Linked DNA regions of Oreochromis niloticus. The protein of the gene in region 4 purifies or fractionates together with the protein of the main gene of each other region. This does not show direct contact. Links are inferred from orthologs where the notes say so. Each region holds a gene or a part of one and is shown on either strand. Other genes may lie near its edges.

Region 1 (7,199 bases), on a different chromosome or scaffold from region 4:
AATGTCATGTAACATGGGAGAGAATCAATGAGTCAAAAAGCTGAGTGAGAAAAGTAAAACAACACACAAACCTCAGGAGAACAGTGTGTCATTGAGAAGGTGGAGATACTGAGGTGTAATCACAGAGAGTGGATCTAAAACCACCTTAGGGTAGGGACAACTGCAGCCACAGATGCAAATATCAGTGTATATACAGCAAATAACATTGTCCTCAAACTTAGGAAAGCTCTGTATTTTGGAGCTGTGTGCAGTCCATTCTTGGCTTTACAGGCCCTTTGAATAACTTCCCCAGCTGTAAGATCGGACTCAGTCCATCTGTGGTTTGAATATGATTAATATGGACCTCCATATCAATCCAGATGCATGTACGAAAGGTATATTGTACCAAAAAATGTAGAAGAAGAGCTCATAGTCCCTTAAGGCAAATCCTGCCAAAAAGCAGAGAGCAAAGTCCAGTCTGCTGAGCAGCCCGCCAGTCTCTAAGAGCGATTCTTCATCTTCTTGCGCACAGACTTGCCTGGACGTTTCTGGGAGTCAAAGAGAAAGAAATTATTTGTTTTTTTATTGACTGATTTGAATAAAACTGTCAATGGCTAACTGTGTGTGTGAGAGACTCACATTTTGTTTTCCTCCTTTCCCCTTCTTCCCTCCCTTGCCGTGAGCTATTTTGGCACGGAAACCGGAAACATCGTTGTAGCTTTCCTTGGTGTTCCACTTCTTTCCACTCTTTTTGCCTCCAAAGCCAAACTTCTGGTCCTTGTATTTTCTCTTAGCGCTGGGCCTGTAGAAAAAAAAAGAAGGGAAATTGTGAATTTCATTTTAAAAATACCACAAATCTGAAGTGGGAGCAAAGAAAAAAATAAGCAATGACTGCTGTGTGCACTGCTGTTCAAACTTACCCCTTTTTGTTCACTGCTTTCTTTGAGCCCTGAGAAGATTCTTTATTCATCTTCTGGTCACCTTCCAAGAATTCCAGTTTGTCGGTCATTCCTAGAAAGAGAAGATGTTGTTCTCAGTGCTCAATAAGTGATGCACCCACAGTGGTATAGTGACAAAACGATAAAAGAAATAAGGAAATAACGTCCATGCTACACTTGTAAACACCCACCCTTCTGGTATTTCTTTACAGCGGACATCATGGCCTTCTTCTCCTGCTGTCTCTTCTGGATCACTTCTATTTGGACCTGGCAAAAAATTCAAAATTAGAGTCAGTCTTTTAGCCATGTACAGTCGAAGTATCATACACATATAACATTTACAGGTGTTAAGAAGAATTTCTAAACTCAGTCACCAACCTTTTTGCCAAACTTCCTTTGCTCACGCAGTTTCTTGGCCTTTTCTGACCTCTCCATAATCATCTGCTTTGAGATCAGCTTTTTCCTGATCTGAACAGACCAACACATGAAAAGGTATATGAATATAAGCCTGACAGAACAAAAGAACAACTAAACTCAGGTCCTGAACCAGTAGGTGCAAAGAAATGTTAATTACTTTACTATCTGGGTGAGAACTAATACTTAGATTCCAACATCACTGTAATTATGTGTTTCAGGTTTTATGGAACATGTAAGGAGAAAAAAAAAAGCAAACAGCTGATGCTTTGCTGGTTTAATGTAATGAAATACAGTTTGAGCTTTAAACATATTTGTCAAAACTGAACCTGCATCATTATAAAGGAGACCAGGCTCACCTTCTGCATATGCTGATCAGATTTGGCCATCTCTGCAAAGTAGTCTTCGGGCCTCTTGGTGGCTATGCTGTGCCTGTTTAGAAGTGGCATTGCCTCGAGGATTGTAGCCTGAGCTTGACGGTAGCTGTAAATTAACAAAAAACACCAAAGAATTGGAATGGTCTCTTTGTAGCTGTGTTGTATTTTTGCAGCATTTTTTTTTAGGCTATTCTCTAAAACATTCAACACTGTATGCATGTTTGTAACTCTTTAGCTGAAAAAAGTGATTTCTTTGTCTGACTCGTAACCAAACTATATTAGTGTGGTTACAAAATACAAGCATATGTGATGCTTTAAATAAAACTGAGCTAAATTAACAGTCACGTACAAGAACATCTCCCTCTGGAAATCATCATCAGCATCCAGTTCTCCAGCGGCTGGCGCTGAAGCTTTCTCTTCAGCTTGAGAAATTATATTTGCAGCTGGTAGGTTGGTCAGATCCAATCTCTCCACCCAGGGAAGATCTTTACGAAAATCAGCAAGACACTGTTTCAACCCCTCCTGTGTGACAACATAGGATCAATAAAGGTACAACAAGTAACAATATTATTATATTCACTTTACAGGGAATTTCGAGAACCGTTCCATTGCTGCTTTAAAACTATTACAGTGGTATGGTTGTTTATAGTACGTTGATCATCCCTGTGTAGCATAACTTGCTACTAACAGAAGATGTGAGATGCCACTCACCACATTGTTGACTAACTTTTTCGGTTTATCCACCAGAACGTTCATCCCAGGCTTCAACAACCCCGCTGCGAAGGCTTCTTGCAGCTGGGCAATGAAATGAAGATGAATAATATTAACTCTGACTTATCTAAACCACCACTTGCTACAGCAAGACTACACGGTCCTACTAAACGTGAACTTTCGTGCTATCTAAAAAGCTTGATTAGAAAAATAAAGATTCCGACACTGATAATAGTACCAGGTCTCTGTTTGTTTGATTAACTTTATAAACAGCAGGCACAGTGACGTTTAAAACCCTAATACTTAATAGGAATGTGGTTAGCTAACGATGCTAGCATGTTAGGAAACTGACCTCATCGTCCGATAATTCACTGTTTTCCTCCTCTGAATCCTGACCGAGCAGCGCCTCTTCCTCTACGAACGCCATAGTCTTGCTGCCGATAACCATGAGATGACTATATGCGAACTATCAATATTAAAACGTAAAATACGCCTCGGATATACAGTGCTCCTCACATGGAGTATAAGGAGCCTTTCACGTGGAGCGGAAGTGACGCCTCTGAACGTCCTACCTATTCAGTTCGCCGGGGGATAAAAAGTGTAAAAATAATCGTTCCTACCCGGAAAAAATTCCAACGCAGAAAAAGTAAATAAATAAATAAAAAATAAAAAATACAGAAGTAAATAACGTTTAAGTCACACTATCCGATAACTCAATGTCCGATTCGCTCGTTGAAGAGTTTCTGATGCAACTTTAGTCACGTATCATCTTATTTCATTGAAATCTCCGCTTTTCATATAGATAAAAATGTTGTTTTGAATTCCATTCCAGTCTTTAAATTTGATTTAACATATAAAATAAAATGCCTTGGGTGGTTTACGAAAACCAATGACTGTATAAAAGTCTACGGTCTTTGACGAAAACACGTTTCCGTTACGTCTAGTGTGTAATATCAAATAAGTCCTCTTAGAGGAGATGTTGTACACCTGCGCAGACTGGAAAGTACAGTGGATGGGTCGATATGAGAACTTTACAGTCTAACGTCAATTTAGAGATTCTACTTTAAATCTTTTCCTATTGTGTAAAGGAAGACTCAGGATTTTCACTTGCCACCTCATCAAGACAGAAACTATCGACATTTCTTTTCCATTACTCAATTCCTGAGTCGATTTCTGTCACTTTGACATGGCACGACTGAGAAAAATGTCTGCGTTTTTGGCCCAGTGTCACTGTCAATGAACATTTTGTCTGTGGGGAAAATCAGGACAGCCCAAAATCTGGTGCTCTGAGTAAAGTTTGTTTCTGCATTCATTAGACATTCAAAATTAAATAAATTCTTTTATTGTTTATTTCTTGGGATGTAGCCTGTGTGTGTCTTTAACATACAGATCTCTGCCTGTGATCCTTTCCTCTTTAGTCATGCTACCCAAGGAACTTTTTTCTTTAAACTCTCCAGTGCACATCACACACATTTTGATTAGCACCCGAGAGAAACCAGTGGATATGCCGTATGCAAAGGCCATCAGCATTGAAATGTCCAAAACCGAAGAGTACTTCCAATGGGAGTCACAATCATTCACTTTAATGTTAGCGAAGGACAGTTTGTGTTCATCTTATGTGGTCACGTAGCAGTTGTAGAGTGAAGGGCTTGCAGTTAGAACCAGAGTGCGTATGTGCTGAATGCTAATGGTGTGCTTTGCCTGTGACCATGGAAGTAAGTTGATCTTACTCAAAATGTCACTTGAAAGGGATTCATCTCAAGTGGTCAAGCAAGGATCTCAACCATACCAAGGGCAAGGCGAAGAGCTGACATTCTTTAAAGTGTGCATACTAAAACTAAGACTTAGTCTAAGAGATAATTTACCCTTTCGGGTGGTGAGGAGTAAAACACTCCTAAATGCAATTAATGGTTAGCTGTGTTATGTTTATGCTGCTAAACAGATATGGTTTTCTTTGGAAGACAAGGTAATTGCAAACCTTTATTATAGCCACATAGCAAAGAAACAGATAATCAATAATCACCCAGAAAGTAAAGCAGAATCAGACAGACAGTATCTTTGCCTTTTTTCATTGTTTTATGTGGTCTCCAGGTTTCTCAGTGTGAATGTAACTTAAAGAAAAATATAAGACATATCCCTATATTGAAACTGTTTTGTGTGGTCATTACCTGGGTGGTTGCTGGTGTCCTATCTTATGCACTGTGCATCAGAACTGCTAACTGAACAAAACAGCACATAGCATCTTTGATCTTCGCTTTCATACGCCATTCAAATAACTAAAAAACATCAAAAGATATTGAATCTGGAACTAATGCAGTATTTTAATATTTTGCCTATTTTATCCTAACTTTTTTTCTCTTTACATGACACTGCTGCTCTTATCTATGTTACTGAAAGTTAAATTCATTATCTCTTTGAAGGTTGCATTTGAGATTGACTAATAGCAACATGAACAGCTTTCTTCTTAATAAGCGGCTCGTTTTCACGACACCTGGACTACAAAAGTGATCCAACTTTACAGGCTTACTGACATTACTTTGATTTGTCAGGAAAGCTCAGAGTAGTCTTGCAGAAATGTGTTAGAATAACAGTTGTAATAATTAGAACATACAGTGATGGTGAAAAGACACAGTTAATAAAACGTCATCTGGTCCTTACCCAGTCTTAAAATTAAGTAAATGCAACCTTGGACAGACAACAACACCTGATATATTACACTGAGCCAAAATGCAGAAGAAATGTGTTAAAAACTGAGTAGAGCCAATTGTTTAATAGCTTGTAGACCTGTAACTTGAAGTTATAATTTCCGGAGTGACTATATGTCTCTCACATTGTAACAAAGAAATTTTGGCTCACCTGTCTTACAAGGCTGCTTCAGTTCATTGAGGTTTGTGGGCATTTATGCACAGCTGTCTTTTGGTCCAGCTAGAGCATTTCTATCAGTTTGAAGTCTGGACTTTGGCTGGACCATTGCAACACCTTGATTCTTTTCTTTTTCAGTAATTCTGTTGTAGATTTGCTGCTGTGCTTGAGGTTGTTCTTCTGTTGACCCAAGCTTGAGCTGTCAGACAGATGACCTCATGTGTGACTTTAGAATATTTTATTATACAGAGAAGCTCGTGGTTGACTCAATGACTACAAGGTGTCCAGGGCCTGTTGCTGCAAAACAAGCCTAAATCTTCACCCCATGAGGTGTTTGTGCTGATATGCTGTGTTTGGCTTTCTTCTATCCAAACGCCACCTTTTTGGCCTCATCTATCCAAAATACATTGTTTTAGACATTTTGTGGTTTGTTCGGACTTTGCAAACCTAAGCAATGGTGCCATGTTCTGTTTAGAGAGAAGAGCCATACTTGTGCCATTTGCTGATTGTTTTTCCATGAACTTTAACATTTAAGATGCTGACTGATGCTTGTAGAGTCTGAGATGTAGACTTTGGCTCTTTCAGGTTTTCTGAGCATTGCACAGTCTGACCTTGGGATGAATTTGCTGGCAAATCCACTCCTGAAAAGATTGGTAGCTGTCATGAATGTGTCATGTTTTCCACTTGTGAATAATCTTTCTCACTGCAGAATGATAGACTTCAAATTGTTTGGAAATGGCCCTTAACCATTTCTAGATTGATGGGGAGCAACAGTTGCTTCTTCAAGATTGTTGCTGATGTCTTTCTTCCTTGGCACGGTGCTAATTCACCTGACTGCTTCAGGTCAGAAAACTGCCAAAGCTTTCAAAGAGGTGGTCACACTTTCTTATGACTCAAGTGCATTTGATTATCAGCACCTGGCTGCTACTTACTATCTTCATTCCTATGGAAGCAGTACTGGTGGACAGATTATATTTACTACACTGGAATTTAAAGAGAGTTCACTTTATATTTCTTACCATGACTGTAGATGTAATAATTAGCAGTAACAAACTGATTTCTATGTACACTGATGATGAAGAATGATCTTTTCATGTCACTTTAGCATATTAATGAGACATTTAGTTTGGTATTAAACCATGCAAATTTTGTTTATTTCACAGCTCAGCAGGTTAGAGAAGTTTCGCTATCACTAATACCAGATGGGCAGGATAGGAAGTAGACTGGGGACTTCTGTGCTGACAGCCGCTGTTCATTTGAGATGTCATCGGCCTCTTTCAGTGTTTTATCCTCCTAGTCCTCAAAGCAGAGGCTGTCTGAGCCCCCCTGAGAGTGACATTCATTCTATTCTGATGGAAATCGATTTCTACAATTTGAACATCACCACCCTTAATTCTTCCATTCTCTGCATGGTCAGAGCCCTGCTCTGAGACATCTTCAAAAGGAGAAAAAAACCCCCCATAATTTACATTTCTGTCATTGTAATCGCTTGAGCCAGACAGAAATGCGGTCTATTAAATTCCCATTCTGCTGTCACTCTTCATATCAGGGCAACAGACTGCTTCCTGACACCAGATTGAAAATAAGTTGGATTCACTCTGTCAAGCTCCTCTTTTGGAGTTATTCCTGGTTGCTGGAGGATTGGACAAAAAAACAATAATACAGTCATGAATGTCTGGGCCTAAGATGGCTGAGTGCTTCAGCTCCTATGGCTCTCAATCAGCCTAAGGAGATTTAGGGATGTGCAAGTAAACAACACTGGATGAATTACTGGGAAAAGTATTTTAGGTCATTTTGTCTTGATCTGTCCTTTCTTGAGTGGATATCCATTCCTTCTCCATCCATCAAAACATCTGTGAGTTGACTGCTAAAGAGTCGGCCTATACCCATGTATTACTCTAGCCACACAGTAGCCATA
Region 2 (7,171 bases), on a different chromosome or scaffold from region 4:
AAGGTTTGACTGGGGCTGCTTTACCTGCAGGCTTCTTGGCCGTCTCCTCTTCTGAGCTGGAATCTAGAAAGATGAGAGACATTTACAAACATTCACTGTCACAAACTGATCATCATTTCAACATGGGAAATGAGCGAGTGACGTTTGTGATCCATACCAGAGCTCTCTGAGCTGGACTCCTGCTTCTTTGCAGCGGGTTTGGATGCTCCAGGTTTGGCTGCAGGCGACTTTACAGGGGCTGGTTTTGCTGTGCAAGTTAAAATGCTGTTAGACATCCAACAATAAACACCAAGAAGTCATGTGGGGAAAGAAAAAAAAAAAAGGAACCCACTTACCTGCCACCTTTTTGTCGTCATCACTGCTGTCATCACTGCTGTCTGAAGAGTCGCTGTCCTGGGCCTTGCTTGCTGCTGGTGCAGCAGGAGCTTTCTGGATTGAAGCAGGAGGTGGTACAGCACTGTATGCTCCTAGAAGGACAAATGTAGATTGTCAGCATTAAAAACAAATACTACAAATACAAATATTTTAATCACAGATCATTCCAGAGATGACCAAGTGAACAGCTTTCGGTATAATTCAGTCAGAGCAGAATGGTCTTATGATCCTGATATGGACAAAACTGGACTGTGGTAATTAATGTGAACTCAATCTTACTTGTATTTTCATATAGCTGTCGAACCTATGCACATCAGTAATAGGTTAAAAAGACTTGATTGGGATTCACTTCCCAGGTGCTGATGCAAGTGTGCCTCTCATCTTTCCAAACCAGACTTTTGTTATTGTGCAGCTTGTATAGTTGTAAGAAAGGATGAAAACACACCTGCTTTGGGTTTTTTGCTGGGAGGAGCCTCATCCTCTGATGAAGAGTCTTCACTGCTTGACTCAGTAGCAGCTTTATTTACTGGGGTTGGTTTGGCTGGAGCCGGTTTGACTGGAGCCTAACACAACACATGGAAATATGCTGTTAATATCTGATGCATGCATTTATCCGCTACACACCACACTTGGCTGAGTGTGAGACAATCAACAACACATAACAACATAAAGACAGAGCCAGAAGATCTTGTGTACCTTGGCTGGCTTCTCATCTTCAGAATCTGAGGAGCTGTCTTCGCTGCTGCTGCTCTCCTGCTTCTTTTGAGCTGCACCTTTGGCAGGAACACCTGCTTTGGGTGTTGTGACTGCACCAGCTTTAGGTTCTGTTATTCAGTAAATGCATACAGTAAATTAAGTTACCCAAGATTTTCCTAATCTTAACTTAGACAAATTACTCAATATAGACTTACTTTGTGCAGGAGCTTTGGCGGTTTGTTCTTCCTCAGAGTCAGACTCTTCACTGCTGGAGCTGCTGTCCTTTTTCCTTGTGCTACCTGCAGCAGCAGGAGGTTGTTTCACAGGTGCCTAAAAACAGACACTACATTTTAATAAAAGGATAACAGGCAAGGTAATGTCGCAATAACAGGCTATCATCAGAATGTCTGATTCTGATGCTTTGTTCTACCTTTGCAGCAGGCTTTGCAGCAGGCTTTGCAGCAGGCTTTGCAGGAGCTTTGTCCTCCTCAGAGTCACTAGAGTCTTCACTGCTGCTGGATGCAGCTTTAGTAGCTGCTGCTTTAGCAGGCCCCTTTTTGGCTGCTAAAATGTGGAATGAGGGAAAATGTAATATCACAGAGTTTCAGAATGCACAATACTAGCAGAATTCAGCCAACCCTTTCAGTTATCCATATCAAATATGAAGGTTATACCTGCAGGAGCTGCTTTAGTTTGTTTTGCACCAGCCTCTTCATCCTCACTGCTTGACTCTTCACTGCTGGAGCTCTCAGTGCTGGCTTTTGCCTTCTTGGCTGATGGACCAGTCCAGTTTGGAGGCGCCTTTCGTTTTTTGGCTTCGGGAGATCTAGTTAAAGGTTTTTAAATGTTTTTTTTAAAGTTTCAATGATATAGCCCATAATTATATTAACACACAGTATGCAACACCACCCACATTAAAAAAAAACAACAAAAAAAAAACCTTCAACGGGATAAAAAGCACTCCCTTTCCCAGAGTAGAAAGATATGCAAATAATAACGCTTTAGTCTTTAGCCTGCATGCCAAAGTGTCCTTGGGCAAAACTGAACACTGAGTTAGTGAGAGAGAGGGACTGGCTGCTCCACTCTGCATGGTAAACTATTCTTTGGCATGTTGAATAAAACGCTTATAAACGCTATATAAAAACCATTTAATTTCCCATTTGCCTAAACAAAAATCACTTCAAATTTGTAAAATAACATTTGGGTTGTATTATAACATTTTTCATATTGTATTAGATTTTTCTCTCATTATAATCCTCAAACTCAACGAGCGTTACTAGACCCTTGAACACTGGGAGAGCAGCAGTGAAATTTCTATTGTACCAATACAGGAACATACTTCTCGACACAGAAAGCCAGCTTGGTCATGTGTTTATATTTTTATGTCAAAAACCCCTCTCGAATGAAAAAATATTAATAAGCAACTCACTTCACCCAGAAGTTGTAGATATTGACGAGTCTCTCTTCATTCTGATCTTGCGGAGCCTGTAGAGAAACACATGAAGTAGTAAGTTAATAATTCCCTTGCAGCGCTTTGAATTTGTGACTAAAACTCCACAAATCATAATTTAAAAAAGTATAAACACGCTGTAGTATTTACACTTTAACACACTGCGACCGTTAATTAGCTCAATAGCAGGTTGCAGCTGATACACGTGCTAACTTCACCGGCTCGGTGACCTGTACGTATTTACCCCTCGTGCCGCCTGGACCTAACGTCTAGTACCCGGCGAGAGGACGTGTCTGTCACACACCGCCACACAGCGTAGGCTACTCACCACTTTAGTCTGTTTCAAGAACTCCTGAGCCGCCTTGGTGAACTTGTTCTCCACCAGAAACGAGTACACGCATTTGAAAAGATCACTCGGTACCGACTTCTCCGCCGCCATCTTCAACACGTTCTTCTGGAAAAGGAAGTGACGGAATCAGGCACTTGTGAGCAGGCGCTGGGTGTCGACGTATCGACGCTTCAGTAAAAAAAACAAACAAACAAAAAACATTTCTAGAGGTTTCCAAATGTCAGAAAAACTAAATAAAACATTATAATTTCACTGACTAATTGTGATTTTAAAAATCCTTTGAAAAACCTTAAAAATATTTCGGGTTGCTCTCACGTGACTAATTTCCTAAAACAATACGAGTAAAATATTTGGATATGCTAAATAAGATGCGAATTTTTATTATTGAAATGCACTCATTTACACATTTAACGCCACATTTAAAAAAAAATAAATGACTCTTATTTGTTATATTTAATAAGCTTTGTTGCCCACGAAGGCGCACGCTTTATGCGTCATCACTAAAGACCTTTCGTGCCCCTCGTGTCATAACATGTCGCCTTTCAACTGAGCAGTGTGGCAATGACAGCCCAGTTCTAGCTGAATTAAACGTGTGGCTCGGGTATTACTTTGCTGCAGCCATGCCTCGGTACGAGCTGGCCCTGATCCTGAAGCAGATGCAGCGGCCGGAGACGGCGGCAGTTCTGCGAAGGACGGTGGAGACGTTGATGGAGCGGGGCGCCTTGGTGAGAGACCTGGAGAACCTGGGAGAAAGACAGCTGCCCTACAGAATGACCAAACACAACCAGAGGCACAGCCGAGGGACTTACTTTCTGGTGGATTTCTACGCAGCTCCTAGCATGCTCGCTGGCTTACTGGATCACCTGCACCGTGATGTGGACGTTGTGAGGCCCACTGTGCTGAAGAAAGACGCCCAGGTCCCCAACAGTAACTGCTGCGGACCCCAGAAGTGATTAAATGTAAGGCTTAATGAATGGCGGAGGTGTTTAAAATCACTGGTACTCAGAGTGAAACAAAGTGCTGTTTTATCACCACATCTGTCTGTTACATGCGTGTATTTTTGGGCTGTAGTAAAATATGAAATACTCTACTTTATCGGCCACTTAACTCCATTAGAGAAATGGCAAACAGAAGCATAGTTGAGCAGTTTAATGTAGAGCTCCAATCGATGTCTAGAGTCAGAAAAATGATAAATCTGAAGAAAATCAACCATTACAGTTAGATTATTGCATTTGTGATTTCTCCTTTATTGTTCATGTACAGCCCAAGAAGGAGAGCAAGGAGAATGCTAGTTTTTACAGTAATGAAAGCTTATCAGCTGTTTCTTGAAGAAAATAGCTTATACACACACACACACACACACACACACACACACACACACACACACACAGACAGAGTGGACTGTGGAGGAGAATAAACCTCATGCATTTAATAAAGTGTTTTAGCACTGATGATGAATTGGACCTTTAAATAGCCCAGACAGAAAGGAATACCGCTGTTTATTTGAGGGGAAAAGTCACTTCTGTGATCCTGGATATCAGGGAACAAGCAGCCAAATACAACCTCTAGTAACTGATTAAAGCATTTTAAACACAAAAGGAAAAAAAACAAAAAACAGGGACTATATGTCTGTGAAGGTTCTCAGTCATCCATCTGGACTTCTTTAAGTTTTCTTGAAGATGTTTCACCCCTCATCTGAGAAGCTTCTTCAGTTCTAAGCGCAACTGGTGGAGAGTCTCAGATTTTAAGCCTTAAGGAGTGTCCCCAAGAGTGTCATGGATCCCCTAATGATCCTCTACTTAATCACACTAGCCAAGGTGTGAAAACGGGTGTAGGTCACAATCAGCCAAGGTTTCACCTTATCATGTGATTTCCTGAGGTCTAAAGGCCCAGGATGTGAGTGGGCTTTAAGGCGTCTGGGAAGGGATGAACCGCTGAGTCTTGTCCCGTTGAGGTGGCTCTTCTATGTTGTGCCATGCGTTTATGAAGTGGTTGTTTGGTTTCTCCAATGTAGAGGTCTGAGCATTCCTCGCTGCACTGTACAGCATACACCACATTGTTAAGTTTCTGTTTGGTAGTTTTGTCTTTGGGATGAACCAGTTTTTGTCTGAGTGCGTGGCTGGTCTGAAGTGCACTGGGATGTCATGCTTGGAGAAGACTCTCCTGAGTTTCCCTGATAAACCTGCTACATAAGGGATGACAGTATTGTTCCGTTTGGCCTTCTGATTCTCCCTAGTTGGTGTCTGACCTTCTTTTCTGTGGATCATTGCTGCACAGGGACAATAATTAAAAAACAAACTCCCCCATGTGGTTACAACAGATGGTTAAGTCCATTTGGTTGGACTCTGTACCTAAACCAGCTCCACCCTCAGCCTCCTCGCTTGCTCATACCAGAAAGGAATATGATATAGTGTGATAATGTATTAAACAAATTAACCAAATTCATTAAACCAGTTGTTTGCTTTATAGCTTGAGTGACTGCAAACTAACTTATTGTGAAAATGGGGCAGGAGTGTAAAAATGTGAATCAATATTCCTAGAATATTTCAGTTGTGTGTTTGTGGACATGACCATCACACATGAAGTAGCCATGATTATCCTCTAAATAAATGATCAGTTCATTAGTCACCATCCCTGTAATATGTCAGTGTATTACTTCAATGCAAGTTCATACATTCGGTTCGTATAAGATTTGTTTGCACAAACACAGTTTCTGTATTTATTTCTTTTGCTTGCTGATTTGTAAGGGAGGATGTTACTCCATGGAGCATCATTTTGCATGTCTGCAACAACAGCAGATCCACATGAGATCCACCAAACAAACATAGATGTGTATTAAGCTCTTATAAGAGGTCCTGCCCTGAGTTTGTGCTGTCCTCCTCATCTACCCCCTACACTTACAGACACAGCCCTGTCATCTCTTGCCTTGCCTGCAGGTGTCATTGTTGAAGCAATTTAATCAGGATTTAAATGATTGATTCTTTCCAGAAAAGTATTAAAGTAAAAATATTGAGCTCCCTCATGTCTCTTGAAAATAGATAATCACCCCCCTTCTCCTCCCTCCATCTGTTTGTCTGAAATGGATCTAACTAGACGTGCACACATACACAATGATATTATAATAACTTCACTACATATATTCCAACAGAAATATGTGTGATGGGACAATAATGCCTGATAATTACAGTTGACTGATAAATCCTTCAGCCTCTCTAATAAGTGTCTGTATTCTTTCACCATGACGTGATTAATTAAACTGTTAGTTAAAATGCTATAATCAACAGGAACTGGGAGTAGGGATTTTACCGTTAAGTCTGAACTGACCTTTTAATGCAGTCGTTATGGTGCTCTAATTTAACCACAATACAATGTGTCAGTATATGTGTTGATTGACAGTGGTGGTTACTTATCAGAGGCCTGTGTTGTTTTATTTCAGAATGCTTTTGTTTAAACTGTAGAGAACAAAAGACACTATTGTTTGCGTTCTCTGATACATTTAGGAGGAAATAAGTACACTTCCCGTGCTGATTGGCTCTTAGGTGTCATTAAAGGTGATCACTTCTCTTCAGTTAACAGAGGGGAAAAATTGCTCCTGTGACAACACTTTAATATTGACTAAGGCTGTAACTCAGATAATTCCATTAAAAAACTTCCCCAGGAGAGATTATTTTCTCCGATGTTTCATTTAATCCATGTAAGAAGAGGTGTTTCTCCCACATTTGTGATTTAAAAAGAGACCTGCATTAGAAACATATCTACGATCACATGTGTGAATAAAAAGAACGACAATATTAAACCCATGCAGCTTCCAGTTATTAAAAAAAAGACTTAAAAATATCTTTTAAAATAAGACAGAGAAAAGCCACGGGGCGGAGCTGTTACAGAGACATTCAGGTGGTGTGAACAAAAACATGTTTCGAGCGTTCAAAACAGCAGTGCTTGTTCCTGTAGTAACCACAAAGGCCTTTACTGGGAAAAACTGTCCTTCATCAAAACCGTTGATCAACAAGTGCAAACAGGAAGAAAAGTGAACTTTCTAGGTGCTCCCATCCACCGCAGTTTGCTTAACACAGCAACACATCTACAATAAAGCTATAGAAATTACAATAAAATTATATTTATGCAACTGAACTGTTAACTTAGTCTCATACAATGTTTAAATAAGACAGCCTAATGGAGGTTGACGACAGCCATCCTTTCTGTCACACTGATGCCAACAGTAAGCAGGGGTGAGTCTAAAGGGGGGGCATGGGGTGTACTACTACTACTCCTATTTATTTCAAGGCTTTCGTAACATTATT
Region 3 (8,017 bases), on a different chromosome or scaffold from region 4:
AAGAGTAAAAATAAAAACTTTAGCTCTTGCTCAGGAGTTTTTTCTTAAATTCAACTTAAACACAAAAACACCTTCACTATTCAAATCACAGACCGAGAATTTTGTATCAGCGTGAAGACACTGTGCAGATTTTTGTGACGCTATTTGTAGGGATGGGAATCGAGAACCAGTTTATGTAGAAAACCGATTCCCAGAAGTCCAATTCCTTGGAATTGTTATTCTGCCTTTCTATCGATCCCGCTTACTGGTTCCTGCACGGTTCGCTTGTCAGAGGAGGAAAAAGGCGACGCAGTCGAGCATGGATATGGACACTTATTTTTATTGCACAAAAGAATGAGATAAATGGTAAAGTGGAAAACTGGACAGAAAAAACTGCATTATACTGCTAACACAACTTCGGTACTTGTGTGGTCTGCTTTGTATTCTCCAAGAGAAAGATCTTAGAGATGTGTGTTCTCATTAGGGATTTGTGTTGGTGTGTGGGGTTGTAGCCTCAGGTTTATATTGTTAAATAGTGTATTTCAGCTCAGTTATAGTGTAACATGAAAGTAATGTAACGAGTAGTGTAAGGAATTATTTTTTCCAGGGAGTAATTAAGTAACGTACTGCATTACTTTGAAGAAAAGTGTTCTGTGTAATATGTCTAATATGTTCTGTGTAACATGCACAAACATTTAACCCACAGCATGCAGTTAATTTGCATGAAGGTAATTTCTATATTGCTGCAATAAGTAATCAAATCGATAAATGATATCGATCTCGGAATCGCTAAATTCTTACCAATTCCCATCCCTATTTCCTTGACTACACTAAACCATAAATATCTGATGTGGTGTTGATGAGACTCATAGTGCAAGAAATTCGGAATAAACACATACTGATTATAAACTAACAGCAAGTCTCATTTATTACTCCTGGCTTTATGACCCAGTTCTACTCACAGGATCAAACGAGAGCAGCGGCCTGGATCCTTTGAGGCAGTTTCCTGTCAGTTTGAGTTCGGCCAGTGTGTGAACTGTCGAAGAGGAGGGGCAATGCAATTATTTTTCCCAACATATAACAAGTGATTGCTGCATTTGAGGGCTTTAGTGGAGAAATAACTTACTGTTCTGGACTAGGAACTTTGCAGAAGGGCCATGGGGGCTGTTTGAAATCCTACAAGACAAGAACATGATTGAACTTAGTTCAGATTGGCTTTATTATGAGTCTGATGTACACGAGATGTAATACCAATGAAATTCTCACCACATATAGAGGTCCTGCTTCTTCTTGGCCTCAAAATAGAGGCACTTGTTGCAGTTTTTGATCTCACAAACCTGCCAAACAAATGACTTTATTCTCCTGGATGCTTTATATATGTTATATAAGAGTAAACTGAGATATTAAACAGCAAACTTACCTCGTTTATGACAAACAGCTTATCCTTTCTGTCCATTTTTGTGTCTAGGCACAAGATTTGTGGGTTAGTAAGGTAAGACAGATAACACAGGTGTTTGTGTGAAGCAATGCCGTAGGTGAATGCTATATGACACTAACCTGCCTTTGCATGAGGCATCATGGTCCTCAGGTCCTGCATCAGGTGTCTGGTTCTGAAGTTGATCCCTCTGGAGGAGAAAATCAGAACTCTTTCCTTGTTGGTCCATTTGCCCTGTTAAAGAGAGTTTACCTCAGAACATCGAACTAAAACAAATACCAGTTTGCAATTTCAGTCTTAAAATGCAACAAAAGCAAAGAAACAGCGTTCTTCTACTACGGTTCAGAGCAGATATGGATCTGCCCGGAAGTTTTTCCCTGTCTGCGGAAGGCTGTTGGTCCATTGTTTACCTCAGCTGTCAATTCTGGGTAAGAGGGATCCACATTTATTCAATCTGGAAGAGACCCTCAAACTTTGTGGAAGTAGTCTAATACAGGTCAGTGACCTTTGACCTCCATACTGAGGTGAGTTATTGAGGATATGCTGAACCTTTCTTTTGGTAAAAGCTGCTGTTTTGATGCTTTGTGAATAAACCCTCCGATGTAAGCAAACTGTTTATTACAGCGAAACCTTTTTGGGACACTTTCTAATTAGATGCTATTGTTGTTTAGCCAGTGACTATGAGTAACAGCAACAACATCAGGAATAAATTAGCATGTTGTTTCCATGTACAAAAGCACTGGCTTGAGGTGAGGATAACGAGGATGACATTTTCTTAAAATGCTGGTGGGCCTCTCTCTTTTCCTTTGCATTTTTGATTCTTTGATGAAGGGGACCCCTTCTCCACGACTATAAAACACAAGCATAATCCTTCAAGTCTTGAGTCTGAAGACGAAGTCACGAATTTAAAATAGCCTCCGAGGTCGACTTCTACGAGTTCTCTTCCTTTGGTGTTTTACACATGTAGCCGAGCTTTAGCCACATGTAAAATGCGACTGGGTGGAAGGGAAATGTCCTTCCCGGCCACTGTATTTAAATAAGCTGGCCGCCTCCACAAAACATCACGAGCCATTTATGTATTTTTAATGGATTAACGATGCGTTTATTAAAACGCATCAATTTGTTGGAAGGAACGTAATAACACACTATCATATTTATGAGCACAACATTCTTTCTTTTTACTATTAATTAGCCTTAAATGCCGACTGTACGTTTAAGAAGGCAGTTTGGTTTATATCTGTGGCGATATCAGATTGGGAATGTTCCGATATAACGAATTCCTCTATCCGATGCAACACACTGAACAGGTTATAGATAAGTAAGTAAAGTAGCGCGTAGTTGGTAAACTGAAGTTGGCTCACCAGCTAAAATAGTTCAGTGGACAATAACACGCTATAACTCTGACCTGAGAGATCGGTGCTGGCACCGTGATCTCATGTTCCTTCTCTCTTCCCACTTCCTCTAGGCCTTTGCCTTCATCTGGTACCAGTTTTCCTTTTTTCGGCTTGAAATCAACGGAATCTTGGCCGGCACGTTTTCTCTTGAACGGCGACATGTTTGCACGCACACGAAACTCCGAACTTCCGAAGAAAAAAAATAACATAAAGCAATAGTGAGAGTGACCTCTAGTGTCCTGGAGATGGTACCCCCAACGTCTTTTTTGGATGGCGGCTCTAGAAGAAAGAAAGAAAGAAAGATCCCCCTTTTCAACCCTGGCATTGAAAAAAAAAATTATTTATTCATTTATTCGTTCAGGATCACTCCTGTTACTCCTGCCTGCCAGAGACAGGTGTGGCATGATGCCAGTTCCTGCCTCCACCTGCCTCCACCTGCCTATATGGCATTCTATATTAAGTAGCTCCAGGATGAACCCTGCGTTCCCTGTACTAAAAAGGTCGATCAGTTACAGGGTTACATCGCCACGGTAACTCATTCTGCGAACCTTAAGTGATCGTCTGCCTAAAAGTGCTTTCTGGTATTCGCCAAAAAAGTGATTACTCGTATTTTAATTGCTGTCATTGACTTGTTGGCCTATAACATGTGAAATATGTGCCAAATGTTTCCCTTGTGATAGCTATTAAGTCATCTTGAGCCACAAACAACATTCCTGCTACAAGGTAGAAACTGAAATTAGTTTTTGGTAAAGTTTCTTTTATATGACCTTTATTTGTCCCATTAAAGAGTCTTGTTGACATTCAAAATGTCTTCTTTGAGGGGATCTGGCCAAGAATGTATCAGAAATGGCAACAAATTAGCATTATAGTTCTATAATGATATTTTAAGTGACCAAAAAGGACTTGATTGGTTATAATGTAGGTACAATAATGCAGAGTCATTCTTTTAAATAGAATAGAATAGAATAGAATAGAATAATCCTTTAATTGTCCCACAAGGGGAAATTTGGATGTAACAGCAGCAAGAAAGACACATATACAAACAAACAGTACACAAGACACAGAACAGAAACATACACAATTTTTACATATTTACATCAAGGGCAATGGTTACCAAAAACAGAGTACTGTACAGTTATTAAATAAAATAAAATGAAATACAGATAAGAGGCAAACCCAGGTTGTAGTGTGAATCGGTTGATAAAATAGTGCAAGTTGCAGTCTGACAGCTGCAGGGAGGAAGGACCTGCGGAAACGCTCCTTCATGCATCTAGGATGCAGCAGTCTGTCACTGAAGGAGCTCTGCAGTTCAGCAACATTTACATGCATGGGGTGGGAGACTCTGTCTATCAGAGATGTTATTTTGGCCAGAGTCCTTCTGTCTCCCACCACCTGCACTGGGTCCAGGGTGCATCCCAGAGCAGAGCTGGCTTTCCTGATAAGTTTACACAACCTCTTCCTCTCAGCTGCCGATAAACTGCTGCTCCATCATACAACACTGTAAAAAATGACAGATGCCACGACAGAGTCATAGAAGATCTTTAAAAGCGCTCCCTGGACTCCAAATGACCTCAGCCGCCTCAGCAGGTAGAGTCTGCTCTGACCCTTCCTGTAAAGAGCATCAGTGTTGTGGCTCCAGTCCAGTTTATTATTCAGGTGAACACTCAGGTACCTATAAGAGTCCACTATCTCAATGTCCACTCCCTGGATGTTCACCGGTGTCAGTGTGGTGGGTCTGCGTCTCCGGAAGTCCACCACCAACTCTTTGGTTTTCCCGGCATTGATCAGCAGGTGGTTCTGCTGACACCAGTCTACAAAGTCCAGAGTCCACTGTCTGTACTCTGAGTCATCCTCACCTGTGATGAGGCCAACTATGGCAGAGTCGTCAGAGAACTTCTGTAGGTGGCAGCGTGGGGAGTTGATGGAGAAGTCTGCAGTGTAGAGGGTGAAGAGGAACGGTGCCAGCACAGTTCCCTGTGGGGGCCCCCATACTGCAGACCAGTGTATCAGAGACACAGCCCTGTGTCCTCACATACTGTGGGCGTTCTGTGAGATAGTCCATAGTATCCACTGGGACATGTGGTGGTCCACTCCCGATAGCTCCAGCTTGTCCCTCAGAAGTCGTGGCTGGATGGTGTTGAAAGCACTGCAGAAATGCTAAAACAGGTAATTTCTTTATTTAAAATATAATCCCTTTGTAAATCCTGTTGACTACAGTCTGTTTACCAATACAAGCAAACATCTTACATGTAAAAAACACTTTCTGTCACAACGCCAGATTAGAGATGAACAGGTATGAACTCTCCACCGACTGAAGTCTTGATCAATGTCACAATTCCCGAATGATAAAGTTGTGATAAGTGATTTATTTGTTAAATCGCACAACTGGCATTTTCCCCAGGTTTTCTTCCTGCCTTGAAGTCAGCTACACTTTATCAATATGTAGCTCTTTTTCAGTCTTATTGTCCAAAACATTGAAAGCACTCACAAATTCATACAGCACTTTTAACACGAAACAGTACAGTTTTTTCTCTCTCATGTCGCTGATTTATCTGAAGTAGCTGTGTTATTTTGATTCTCTGTTATGTTTTTAACCACTTCATATTTTTTTAACATCATAGTTTATTCTTCCTTTGTAAAATCAGCTGCTCAGCTGGTGACATAACAATCAGTGTGATTGCCAATAACACCCCTTTCATGTGAATGTGCTCACACCTACAGTGGGGGAAATGTGATCCCCTGCTGAAATTGCAAGTTTGCTTGTTGCCAAAGAAATGAACATTCTCTCATTTTTTTTGTTTTTTGTTTTGCTAGTTTCATTTTAATAGAAAGAGGGAGAATATCAACCTATAATCCGGAAAAAAGCATCTCTCCACCAGCATGGGCAAAACCAAAGAGCTGCCAAAGGATGTAAGGAACAGATTGGAGGCCTGCACAAGGCTTGACTGAGCTCTAAAACATCAGCAAGAAGCTTAGAGAGAAGGTGAAAACTGTTGCAAATATTTGGAAATGGAAGAAATATAAAATAATCATTGGTCACCCTCCATGAAAGATTTTCCCTCATAGGATGAAGATAATCATGAGGAAAGTGGAAGATCAGTCTAAAACTATACAGGAGGCTCTGAAGGCAGTTGGGACCACCATCACTAAGAAGACCTTTGATAACACACTGTGCTGAAGTGCACTGATGTCTTGCAGCACCACCAAGGTCCCCATGCTCAATAAGGCAAATGTTCAAGCTCATCTAGTTGCCAGTGAACATCTAAATGAAGCAGAGAAGCCTTGGGAGAAAGTACTGTGGTCAAAAGAAACTAAAATCATGCTGTCTGGCATCAACCCAACCCTGCATGTTTGGAGCAAGAGAAATACTGAGTATCGTCCAAAGAACACTATTCCCACAGTCAAGCACGGAGGTGGAAACGTCATGCTTTCGGGCTCCTTTTCTGCTAAAAGTACAAGACAGCGTCACCACACCAAAGGTCCAATTTTCCTATTGAACATCTGTGGAAGGAGCTGAAGCTTCCAGTTGCCAAGTGGCAGCCAAGAAACCACAAGGATTTAGAGAGGTGGGCCAAAATCCCTCCTGATCTGGTTGCCAACCTGGTGACCAACTATAATAAACGTCTTACCGCTTTACTAGCCAAAAAGTGTTTTTTCCTCACCAAATACTATAAAAGTACAGGGACATACCTTTTATGTAATGTGTGTGTGTGTGTGTGTGTGTGTGTGTTTTTCTGGTTTATCTTTTGTGTCTCTCCATTAAAACTACTGTGAAGATTAGGGATATTTCTTTGTAAACGAGCAAACTAATTCTGCAAGGGATCGAACAATCATTTCCCCCACAACTTGCTCAGTTGACCAAGTGAGTTGGTAACCAGCTATGTGTGACCGCTTATCCTGATTGCCAATGTTAGGGTACAGGATGCTGATAACGGCTGGTTATTTTTGAAATACAGTATGACACGACACTTATGTTGCTGCCACGGTTTGCAGGCTGCTTTTACCACACCAAGTCCTCATCTTCATCTCTGCTGTCAAACAACATATATCCTAACCTTTGCAGCCATGCACCCATAGGTCTTTTTTCCTTTTATTATTCCCCGATTAATGTCCTGATTGATGTCTTTTCTTTTCTGGGCACTGATGATGACAATACCCAGTGGGATGTTTTCCTATATGAAGAAGAATAGCATTCAAGTCATTGTTACCACTTCCTAATCTGCTTATAATTACCTGCTCCTTCCTGTTGGTGGAAACAATACTGCAGACACGCAAAGGGTTGCGTGTGGGGAAACATACACAAAAGGTGTAATCAGAACAAAGCAGATTAGGAAAAAAACTAAAACTCAAAAGACCTCTGCAATTATTACTGCATTGTCCCAAACAGAGATTTATGTAACTGTGGATCTGAAACCTGCTGACACAAGCCGCTGTTTTACTTGTTTTTGAACATTATATATAGGTTTTATTTTTCATCTTTGACCTCCATAAACACGACATGAAGGCAGATTTAAAATACGTAAGGTCCTCTTTAATTTTTTATTGTAACAGGACCCAAGTTTAGTTTTAAGTACAGAGGTTTTCATGTGCTCACAATGACTAAGGTGGAGCATGGTGGGTGAGTAAATGATTGATTATAAAAGTATAAAACACAGAGGTGTGGCAGTTTGGGTGTCTTGTAAACTACCTTCTTTGTTTTCAGCGAGGGACATACTAAATCTAGGTCTTTAGTAGTTATTATTTCAACAAGCAGCAAGCTTTCTTGTTAGCACTAGAGGGCGCCATGAGCTCGTGAAGACAGGGATGTGGAGGAACGAGTAGTGAAAGATTGACTGTGACAGTAAACACGTGTATTTCTCCCTTATTAGCTTCCCTTTATTGCCTCTTTGTAAAATCCAGGAGATAATTTAAGAAGTACAAGTGTTAAAAGTACAAAGGTGAGTAGACATCGCCTTTCTTTTCTTTTACTCTCCAGGCATTTGTGTGTCACTGGTATACGCCATTAACACTGCTTTTTGTCTTCCAGATGGCGCCCTAGGTTTCTTTCTGCTGAAGGGAAGTTTAAATGTCTTGAACCTGCTATGCAAAGCACTCTGAGATAACCTTTGTTATGATTTGACACTAATAAAATTGAACTAGAATGTAAATGTGAAGAGTCACACTTTGAAAATGGAACATGAAATTACCATAGATTTTAAGTTTGGGGTTT
Region 4 (7,136 bases):
CTGAGAATCAGAGAGGAGAAACACAAAGTTTTACTTGCATGCAAGGGCAGCCAAAGAGCACTCACACTTGGAGTGAGGGCTCCGAGACTCGCGCTCTGCCACTGCCCTGGTCTTTATTTATACACAAGAAGAGTAATACGTTTGTTCAGTGGAATGTTGATGCATGAGCATGTGCGGATATGTGTGTGTCTGTGTGTGCGCGCGTGTGTGTGTGCGTATGCGTGTGCCAGGAGAGGCTCCTCTACCTGGTACAAAGTGAAACTGCTTATTAAGCTCTTATCTAGCAGGTACTGCTCCTTCCCTGCATGATAACGGGTCACAGTGAATCAAAACAGTCTGAGTTATAAAGAGGTCATCATGCAGTATTCTATCATATGCAAACTTATATTATTAAAAGATTATACTGACTACAATTTTCTATTGACAGCTACATTACAAAATCGAATCTGTAGGCAATATCCCACAATATTATCAATTATTTCACAGAACCTTTTGGTTTTTCAGGAACAACAGTAATCAGTTTACCAGTATGTAAAAGGAACTAATCCTAACCTTCAGAAAAGTTTGGGATCAAACACCAATGAGCTAAACGGCTGATTCATGACTGAAAATCGTGACTGATTTTGTGGTCTGGACTGACCAATTCATTAAGCTCTAGTTTAGCCCTAGTTGTACACACAAGCTGCTTACCTTCATCAGCATCAACTCTTTTGGGCTAAAGAACGTGATGTGTCCCTCCGTCCTCTGAACCAGCAGCGCCATCAGGCACACCAGCACCACGCAACCAGCCACTGCTCCACGCATGCTCATTTTGCTCTGTCCCCTAGAAACATACACATTGGTACATACAGAGCAGAAAGTTCACACACAATACAGTCTGAAGGTGGCCAAGCGACTCTATTTTGCAGTGGTCGACATCTGGCATGACATGCAGCATGTAACCGAGAGCGGACAAAGAAACACAAGGAATCTCGTGCTTATGTAATACAGAGTTTGGGAAATACATTAGAGATGGGGGGGGGGGCAGAACAACAAACTCCTCCAGAGGCAAGATAGATAAGAGGTTGGAACCATATTTACAACCAGCAAGACAGGTCTGTGCACAAATGTGAGTAGATGAAAACAGAACATCAAAGAGAAAGAGAAATGAGAAAGACCTAGAGGCAGAGAGAGACAGAAGCACAAGAAGCCATGAGTTACTCACATGCTGTGTCAGCGTTGGTTAGTTGCTTGAGGAAGTGTGCTTTAAAATGAGCAGAGCTCCAGTGGTCTGAGTGTCAGCTTGTTGCTGTCAGCCTTTATATCAAGCCCTCTCCTGATCCCTAAGCTTTTTACTGTCCTCCCTCACATCCGCTCCTCAACAAGCTCCTTCAAGCATAGTCCTGGAAACACAAATATTACTCAGGAACGGCTGGCTCATTTTTTTATTTTTTTATTAGGTTAGTATACTCACCTAATCTTCACTGGTACGTATAAATTATAAGATGAATGTATACTGTGCAGTTTTAAAAAAAATCAAAGCAGTCATTTCCTCATTTATTTTTACTCACTTTAGGAAGTAGAATTAACTCATGTATTCATAACACATCCTACAAAAGACAAACTGCAAACTGAAAAGTAAAGTTCAATTTTTACGTGACTTTCGTTTGGGTCACTGAGTTAAATATAGAAGCGGGGGAAAAACAATTACGACAGTCTTTTCAAAGAAGTCAGTCATATATCCTCGGCTCCAAGTAATTATCTAACACATTCTGACATTTATGACCTGCTACTAATTTGTGTTCGCGCACATACAGACCCACATGCATCTGTGCCTTGGAAACCTCATGACTTATTTCCTGCACGGTGGCGAAATGTTACTGCAATTTATTTTTATTTTGTTGTCAGAATACTCAGCAAGAGTGTTTAATTACAAGCATTGCTATTGTTCTGTGTGGTTTATTACATTTTAGGTGCATAGATGGAGCTCTGTATGTCTTCTCTAGCACTTTATATTACACAAGCACTATGACACACAGGTGACTGCTACATTTTTCTAACACCTAGAGTATGTATTTTAAAGTAACATTTAGGGATTTAGAGGCTTCAGGATAAATTATGGAAATTGTATAACCTTTATATTATAATACTAGTAAAGAATATGTATAAACAGTTTAAAATAAACCATGCTGTATATATTCAAATCTACATTTTAAACTTTGGCATACAGAATCAAACACCACAGCAAATGTTTCAAGACATCAATCACTGGGTACTGAATTTGGGATTTTCCCTTTAAAGGGGGAAAATCTCACTTCCAATGCCATGTTTTTACTCTTGGACTCTTGGAGTCACAATTAAAAAATAATCTTTATTCATCTTCTGAAACACATCATTTTACAGCCTTTCTTCAAGCCAGCTTTGCTGTCTGTGAATTCAGACTGAGCCCAAGGGCGCCTCCAGAATTTTTTCATAGGGTTAGCCATGTGGGGGCCACTAAAAATGTTGGGGTGTCACCTCAAAAACAGAATTTTCTAGTTTTATTATGCTGTTGTCAAATATAGGTTACTTGAAAATTATGGCAAAAAAGAGAGAAAGAAAATAATTAACCCAGTTAATTTCCTGCCATTAAAGTTGATATCATTGAAAATACGTACATATGAAACCCATTTTGAAATCCACAATAATTTGTTTTGATTGACTGATTGATCGATTGATTCCAACCTTCACTAATGATTCTCAGCAGAGCTGAGCAGAAGCTGTGGGGGGCCAGCAAATTCAGGGGATGCATTGCAATAACTTTTTTGGAATTACAGTCATTGTTATCTAAAGTCCCCCATTTTCAAAGGATCAAAGGTAACTGGACAGTCCTCTAACAAGCAATTTTCTGCTCCCTTGTTTCATGACAAATAAAGCAGCTGGAAACATTTGGTGTTAATTCAAGTGCTTTTGACAGTTAATCTCAATAAGAGGTCCAAAGAAATGTTGATGCAATTGAAGGAGTTAAAAAAAAACATTCACAAAAACACTTGACTTGGTTAGATGCGGTAACCATGTCATTGTAACAAGTCTATGATCAAGAGAGGTGTTCATGGATGAAAATAACGTGCAAACCACTAGGTACACTCAAGAGCAATGCCATAAAACATATAAAGAACCTGCAAAGTTGAGTAAGTGTTGTAAATGTTGACTAATTAATAAATAAATAAATACCACAATGACAAGAAGAGAAAAATATGGAGAGAAATAGCTAATGATGATTAAAGACGTAATTCTGAAGTGCACAGGCTGGTATTCTGTTCATATTCAGCCAAATACTGCAAAACTGATTAGTCAGCACTTCACAGTGCAAATGTATAATGACCCGAGCGATAATGCAAAAGCAACCAGCGAGCGAGCCATGGCAATGAAATGGGATATTCTTCAATTGCCTATTTATCTGATCCCAACCTAATATAGCATTTTGTTTAGTAATTAAACACAAACCTCAATCCAGAAAGACCCACATACAAGCATCAACCAAAGTGGCAACAGTGCCAGCATAACAGAGCATCTCAAGGAAGAAAAAAGCATGTGGTGATATTTATGGTTTACAGACTTCAGGATAGGATTTTCCTTCAATTAAAAATAAATCATTCTTATTTAAAATAATCCTACTTTGTGCAGTTAGTTTTTAATCTGGGTGGACACTGTATACAAATTACTTTAACTCCTAAACAGTTAATGTAATGCTTTTGTTAAGCGCCTCTAATTAAAACTGAACGCCTGGACTTCAAAATCGCATATTAAGTGTAAGACTTGGAATCCACTGTGGTAGTCTGCAGATGTGGTAGTCTGTATTTTTTTTTAAACTGCAGTCCCTGGCTATAGATATTTAAAACATTTCTCTACCAACAAATACACGTGGCCCAAACACTTTATTGTTTTCGTCTGTTTTGCCCCCTCCGACCTTTTCTCAGTGTGTGAACTGTAAATACACTGCTTCAGAAAAAAAAAACAAAAAATATTTTGGGACGCGTTTACCCACAGTTAGATGAGAACATATATAAGAGCACGAACCTTATATTTTAATATTTGTTTCTTCAGCATAGGAAATTGGGGAAAGGACGCATATTGAAGCTTTCTCGGTCGGGTCTCGCGATGTCAGAGCTGCTACCGCGGGATTTGGGGCGGTGCTGCTGTTTGCTGAAACGCGTGGACGCAGTCTTTTTGCTGAGGTGAAGCAGCACAGCAGACACGAATTGCGTGCTGCCGCAGATTTTCCAATCATGGTAAGCTGAGCGGGGTTGGATATGTTGGCATGACTGCAAATTGTTCGTTAAACTTTACACTTTAAGTTTTTTTGCAGTTAGTTGCGTTTTAAGAGTATAAATGTCTAGTTAGATTTAGTTCACTTCTGTCGAGCTAAAGGCCCTCCGACATTTGGGGAGCAGTTCCGCTAGTGCTGACATTAGCGGGAAAATATATATTTTACTTTAAAGGCTTAAAGTGACAAATGATGTGTCCAGCTGTGTTAGTCGCAGTCGTGCCAGAAGCACTGATATTGACAGTGCTGTAGCAGGTATTGTACTTTTCTAGGGGCCGTGTTAGCACAAGCTAGCTCTTAGCAAGCACGTTATACGCAGGCCTAGGTCGACACGTGGGTTCATCGAGACTGCAACGTGGTTACGTGTGAAAGTTACGACAAAGCAGTGGTAGCTAAACCTGAAGTGGGAAAACACTTTTGAAAAAGCTACTGCACATTTATGCCTAAAATTGCAATCTTATTTTAGGAATTAATCGAAAGTGAAGTTAGCTCGTGTCTCGCTGGTCAGCACGTGGGGACTAGTAAACACTTGATCTGAACGTAGTTTTAGAAACACCTTTCAGTTTCTGCTGGCTGCAAGTGTTACCTGTTTACGTCTGTCGTCTAACTCGATCGTGCACGTTCACCTTCCCTAGGTGTTGCTGCACGTGTTGTTCGAGCACGCGGCGGGCTATGCGCTGTTCGCCGTCAAAGAAGTGGAGGAGATCGGCATGCTGCTGCCCCAGGTGCGTCCTCTTCCCTAACTCCTGTGTACTATCTGTTTTGTGTGCTCTTTAAGCAGAGCACTGATAATTGTGCTTTTGTGTCGTGTCAGGTGGAGGCGAGCGTGCTGAGCCTCGGAAAGTTTAACAGCATGGTGAGCTTAGCCGCCTTCTTCCCCTTCAAGTCGGCCCAGGCCGCCCTGGAGAACATGAACGCCATCTCTGAAGGTATGTATGATTATCATTTTTCTCTTTATCAATCTTGTGTGGAAAAGTCCTCAGCTGTAATGATGTTTTATAATCTGTCAATCCACTGAGTTCTTGTGCTGACAGTTTCATATCAACCCTGAACACCTGAGGAAAGACTTTACATGGACAGCCGAAATTGTAGATTTTGATTTGTTCTTTTATCTGTAATAATTGTTAATGAGACTACTTTAATTATGTTCAATTTGTTCTGAGATGGCAAGATTGCATGATGGCAAATTATCGGGCTTTAATATGATAATATCACAATAGTCAGTGTCGTATCTTTTAGATGCCTTTCCATCTCAACCACGTGTCTACAGATGTAATTACATTCTTCCATCCCTTGAAGGTATGGTTCATGCTGACCTGAAGCTGTTCCTAGAGACCAATCTGCCCCAGTCTGGGAAGAAAAAATCAGTGTTGGGGGTTTCTGATGCCAAGATTGGAGCAGCGTTACAAGAAGAACTTAGCAGTTCAATCCAAACTGGAGGGGTGGTGGCTGAGATCACACGAGGTGAGAATGTTTACCTGAGAGTTATTACAAAATATGCAAAACGATACTGTGTCTATATAATAATGTGGACTGTTGTGATGTGAACTTGTGATCCTGAAACTCATGAAGGTTCATACTGAAAATCTGAACAGCCGTTGGATCTGCACTTTTCTGTTCGTGTTCTTCTTAACACTCAGCAAACCTTCTCAATCTGTCCTGTCCCGTCAGGTTTGCGTCTGCACTTCCACTCTCTGGTGAAAGGTCTGACTGCCCTGGCTGCCTCCAAGGCACAGTTGGGTCTTGGCCACAGCTACTCCAGAGCTAAAGTCAAGTTTAATGTCAACAGGGTAGATAACATGATCATCCAGTCCATTGCTCTGTTGGATCAGCTGGACAAAGACATCAACACCTTCTCCATGCGTGTCCGGTAGGAAATTTTCATCACACAGTAAAAGGACTGGTTTTTGCATAAAATTAAACAGTTTAGGGAACATGTTAACCTTTCATGCTGTTCATCTTTTACTCTTTTAATCTCTTCTCTAGTTTTATGGCTTTTCTGGTGACAGATTTGCATCAGGCTTTTTGTAGTTCAGGGTACATTTTGGGGCATCCTCCTAATGCTTACCACAGACAGCACACCTCAGAGTGCTGACTGTATAGAAACAGGAGGTAGATCAGTTACTCCCAACACTTCTGCTCTGCCAGCTGCTATCTGGTGAGGCAACACTGTTGGGTGGAACATCATGTATATTTACTAGCTCAGCATCTTGTAGCTGTTTGGGGTGTCGTGGCGCATGCATTCATTTTGGTGTGAAGTGTCCTGGTGCAAACTGTCAGAGTGCAAGATCATCTAGAACATTTAGGCATCAGTTATTGTCAGCTGTAGCATTCAAGTCTTAAAAGCTCCAGGCTTGTCCTACCGATACAGGACTCTGTGAATAGAATTGGATATCTTGAGAGAAAGAGAAGCTGTAATTTTGAAAGTGATATTTTTCAGCAGTCTTGAACTTAATTAAAAATTGTGCCATCTTAATGGGTAGTTCTGTTTTGTGCTTGAGCATAAAAGCCTCGGTTATTGGGTTTGTTTTATAATAGTTGTTTTTTTTGTTTTTTTTGTAAATGTGCAGCCTTTAAATGCTTACTCCAAAAACCCTGCACTCAAAGTTTTAACAACCTCTTGTTTATCTACAGTGAATGGTATGGCTACCACTTTCCGGAGCTCATCAAAATTGTGTCCGACAACTCGATGTACTGCCGCCTGGCTCAGCTCATTGGAAACAGGAAGGAGTTGTCAGAGGAGAGCCTAGAAAGTTTAGAGGAGGTGGTGATGGACAGTGCCAAGGCTCAGGCCATCCTGGATGCATCACGCTCCTCTATGGGTGAGTACACCGGACATTCAGAGTATGTG

Evidence for each region.
Region 1: the proteins of nop56 (region 4) and ebna1bp2 purify together in Homo sapiens (affinity purification with mass spectrometry; 4 studies listed by BioGRID and IntAct, with this or other methods). This does not show direct contact. The link is inferred for Oreochromis niloticus from reciprocal best matches to the Homo sapiens genes NOP56 and EBNA1BP2.
Region 2: the proteins of nop56 (region 4) and nolc1 purify together in Homo sapiens (affinity purification with mass spectrometry; 6 studies listed by BioGRID and IntAct, with this or other methods). This does not show direct contact. The link is inferred for Oreochromis niloticus from reciprocal best matches to the Homo sapiens genes NOP56 and NOLC1.
Region 3: the proteins of nop56 (region 4) and bxdc2 purify together in Homo sapiens (affinity purification with mass spectrometry; 3 studies listed by BioGRID and IntAct, with this or other methods). This does not show direct contact. The link is inferred for Oreochromis niloticus from reciprocal best matches to the Homo sapiens genes NOP56 and BRIX1.

What each region holds. Positions count from the first base shown.
Region 1 is NC_031981.2:33,036,386-33,043,584, reverse strand, and holds ebna1bp2 (putative rRNA-processing protein EBP2), read right to left. Parts: upstream 3,002-7,199; 5' UTR 2,868-3,001; coding exon 2,772-2,867; intron 2,504-2,771; coding exon 2,420-2,503; intron 2,231-2,419; coding exon 2,058-2,230; intron 1,815-2,057; coding exon 1,691-1,814; intron 1,386-1,690; coding exon 1,296-1,385; intron 1,185-1,295; coding exon 1,109-1,184; intron 991-1,108; coding exon 900-990; intron 782-899; coding exon 619-781; intron 528-618; coding exon 480-527; 3' UTR 190-479; downstream 1-189. UniProt on the Homo sapiens protein: Required for the processing of the 27S pre-rRNA.
Region 2 is NC_031978.2:22,127,859-22,135,029, forward strand, and holds the start of nolc1 (nucleolar and coiled-body phosphoprotein 1), read right to left. Parts: upstream 3,008-7,171; 5' UTR 2,961-3,007; coding exon 2,850-2,960; intron 2,557-2,849; coding exon 2,501-2,556; intron 1,898-2,500; coding exon 1,746-1,897; intron 1,636-1,745; coding exon 1,502-1,635; intron 1,402-1,501; coding exon 1,287-1,401; intron 1,200-1,286; coding exon 1,072-1,199; intron 939-1,071; coding exon 821-938; intron 468-820; coding exon 336-467; intron 248-335; coding exon 158-247; intron 64-157; coding exon 1-63. Other genes in the region: mrps6 (small ribosomal subunit protein bS6m), read left to right, coding at 3,491-3,823. UniProt on the Homo sapiens protein: Nucleolar protein that acts as a regulator of RNA polymerase I by connecting RNA polymerase I with enzymes responsible for ribosomal processing and modification.
Region 3 is NC_031972.2:18,181,317-18,189,333, reverse strand, and holds the start of bxdc2 (ribosome biogenesis protein BRX1 homolog), read right to left. Parts: upstream 3,014-8,017; 5' UTR 2,970-3,013; coding exon 2,820-2,969; intron 1,649-2,819; coding exon 1,537-1,648; intron 1,444-1,536; coding exon 1,400-1,443; intron 1,317-1,399; coding exon 1,246-1,316; intron 1,156-1,245; coding exon 1,106-1,155; intron 1,016-1,105; coding exon 942-1,015; intron 1-941. UniProt on the Homo sapiens protein: Required for biogenesis of the 60S ribosomal subunit.
Region 4 is NC_031970.2:28,335,106-28,342,241, forward strand, and holds the start of nop56 (nucleolar protein 56), read left to right. Parts: upstream 1-4,124; 5' UTR 4,125-4,247; coding exon 4,248-4,250; intron 4,251-4,920; coding exon 4,921-5,010; intron 5,011-5,099; coding exon 5,100-5,214; intron 5,215-5,584; coding exon 5,585-5,749; intron 5,750-5,956; coding exon 5,957-6,155; intron 6,156-6,336; exon of another isoform or gene 6,337-6,472; intron 6,473-6,919; coding exon 6,920-7,107; intron 7,108-7,136. UniProt on the Homo sapiens protein: Involved in the early to middle stages of 60S ribosomal subunit biogenesis. Required for the biogenesis of box C/D snoRNAs such U3, U8 and U14 snoRNAs. Part of the small subunit (SSU) processome, first precursor of the small eukaryotic ribosomal subunit.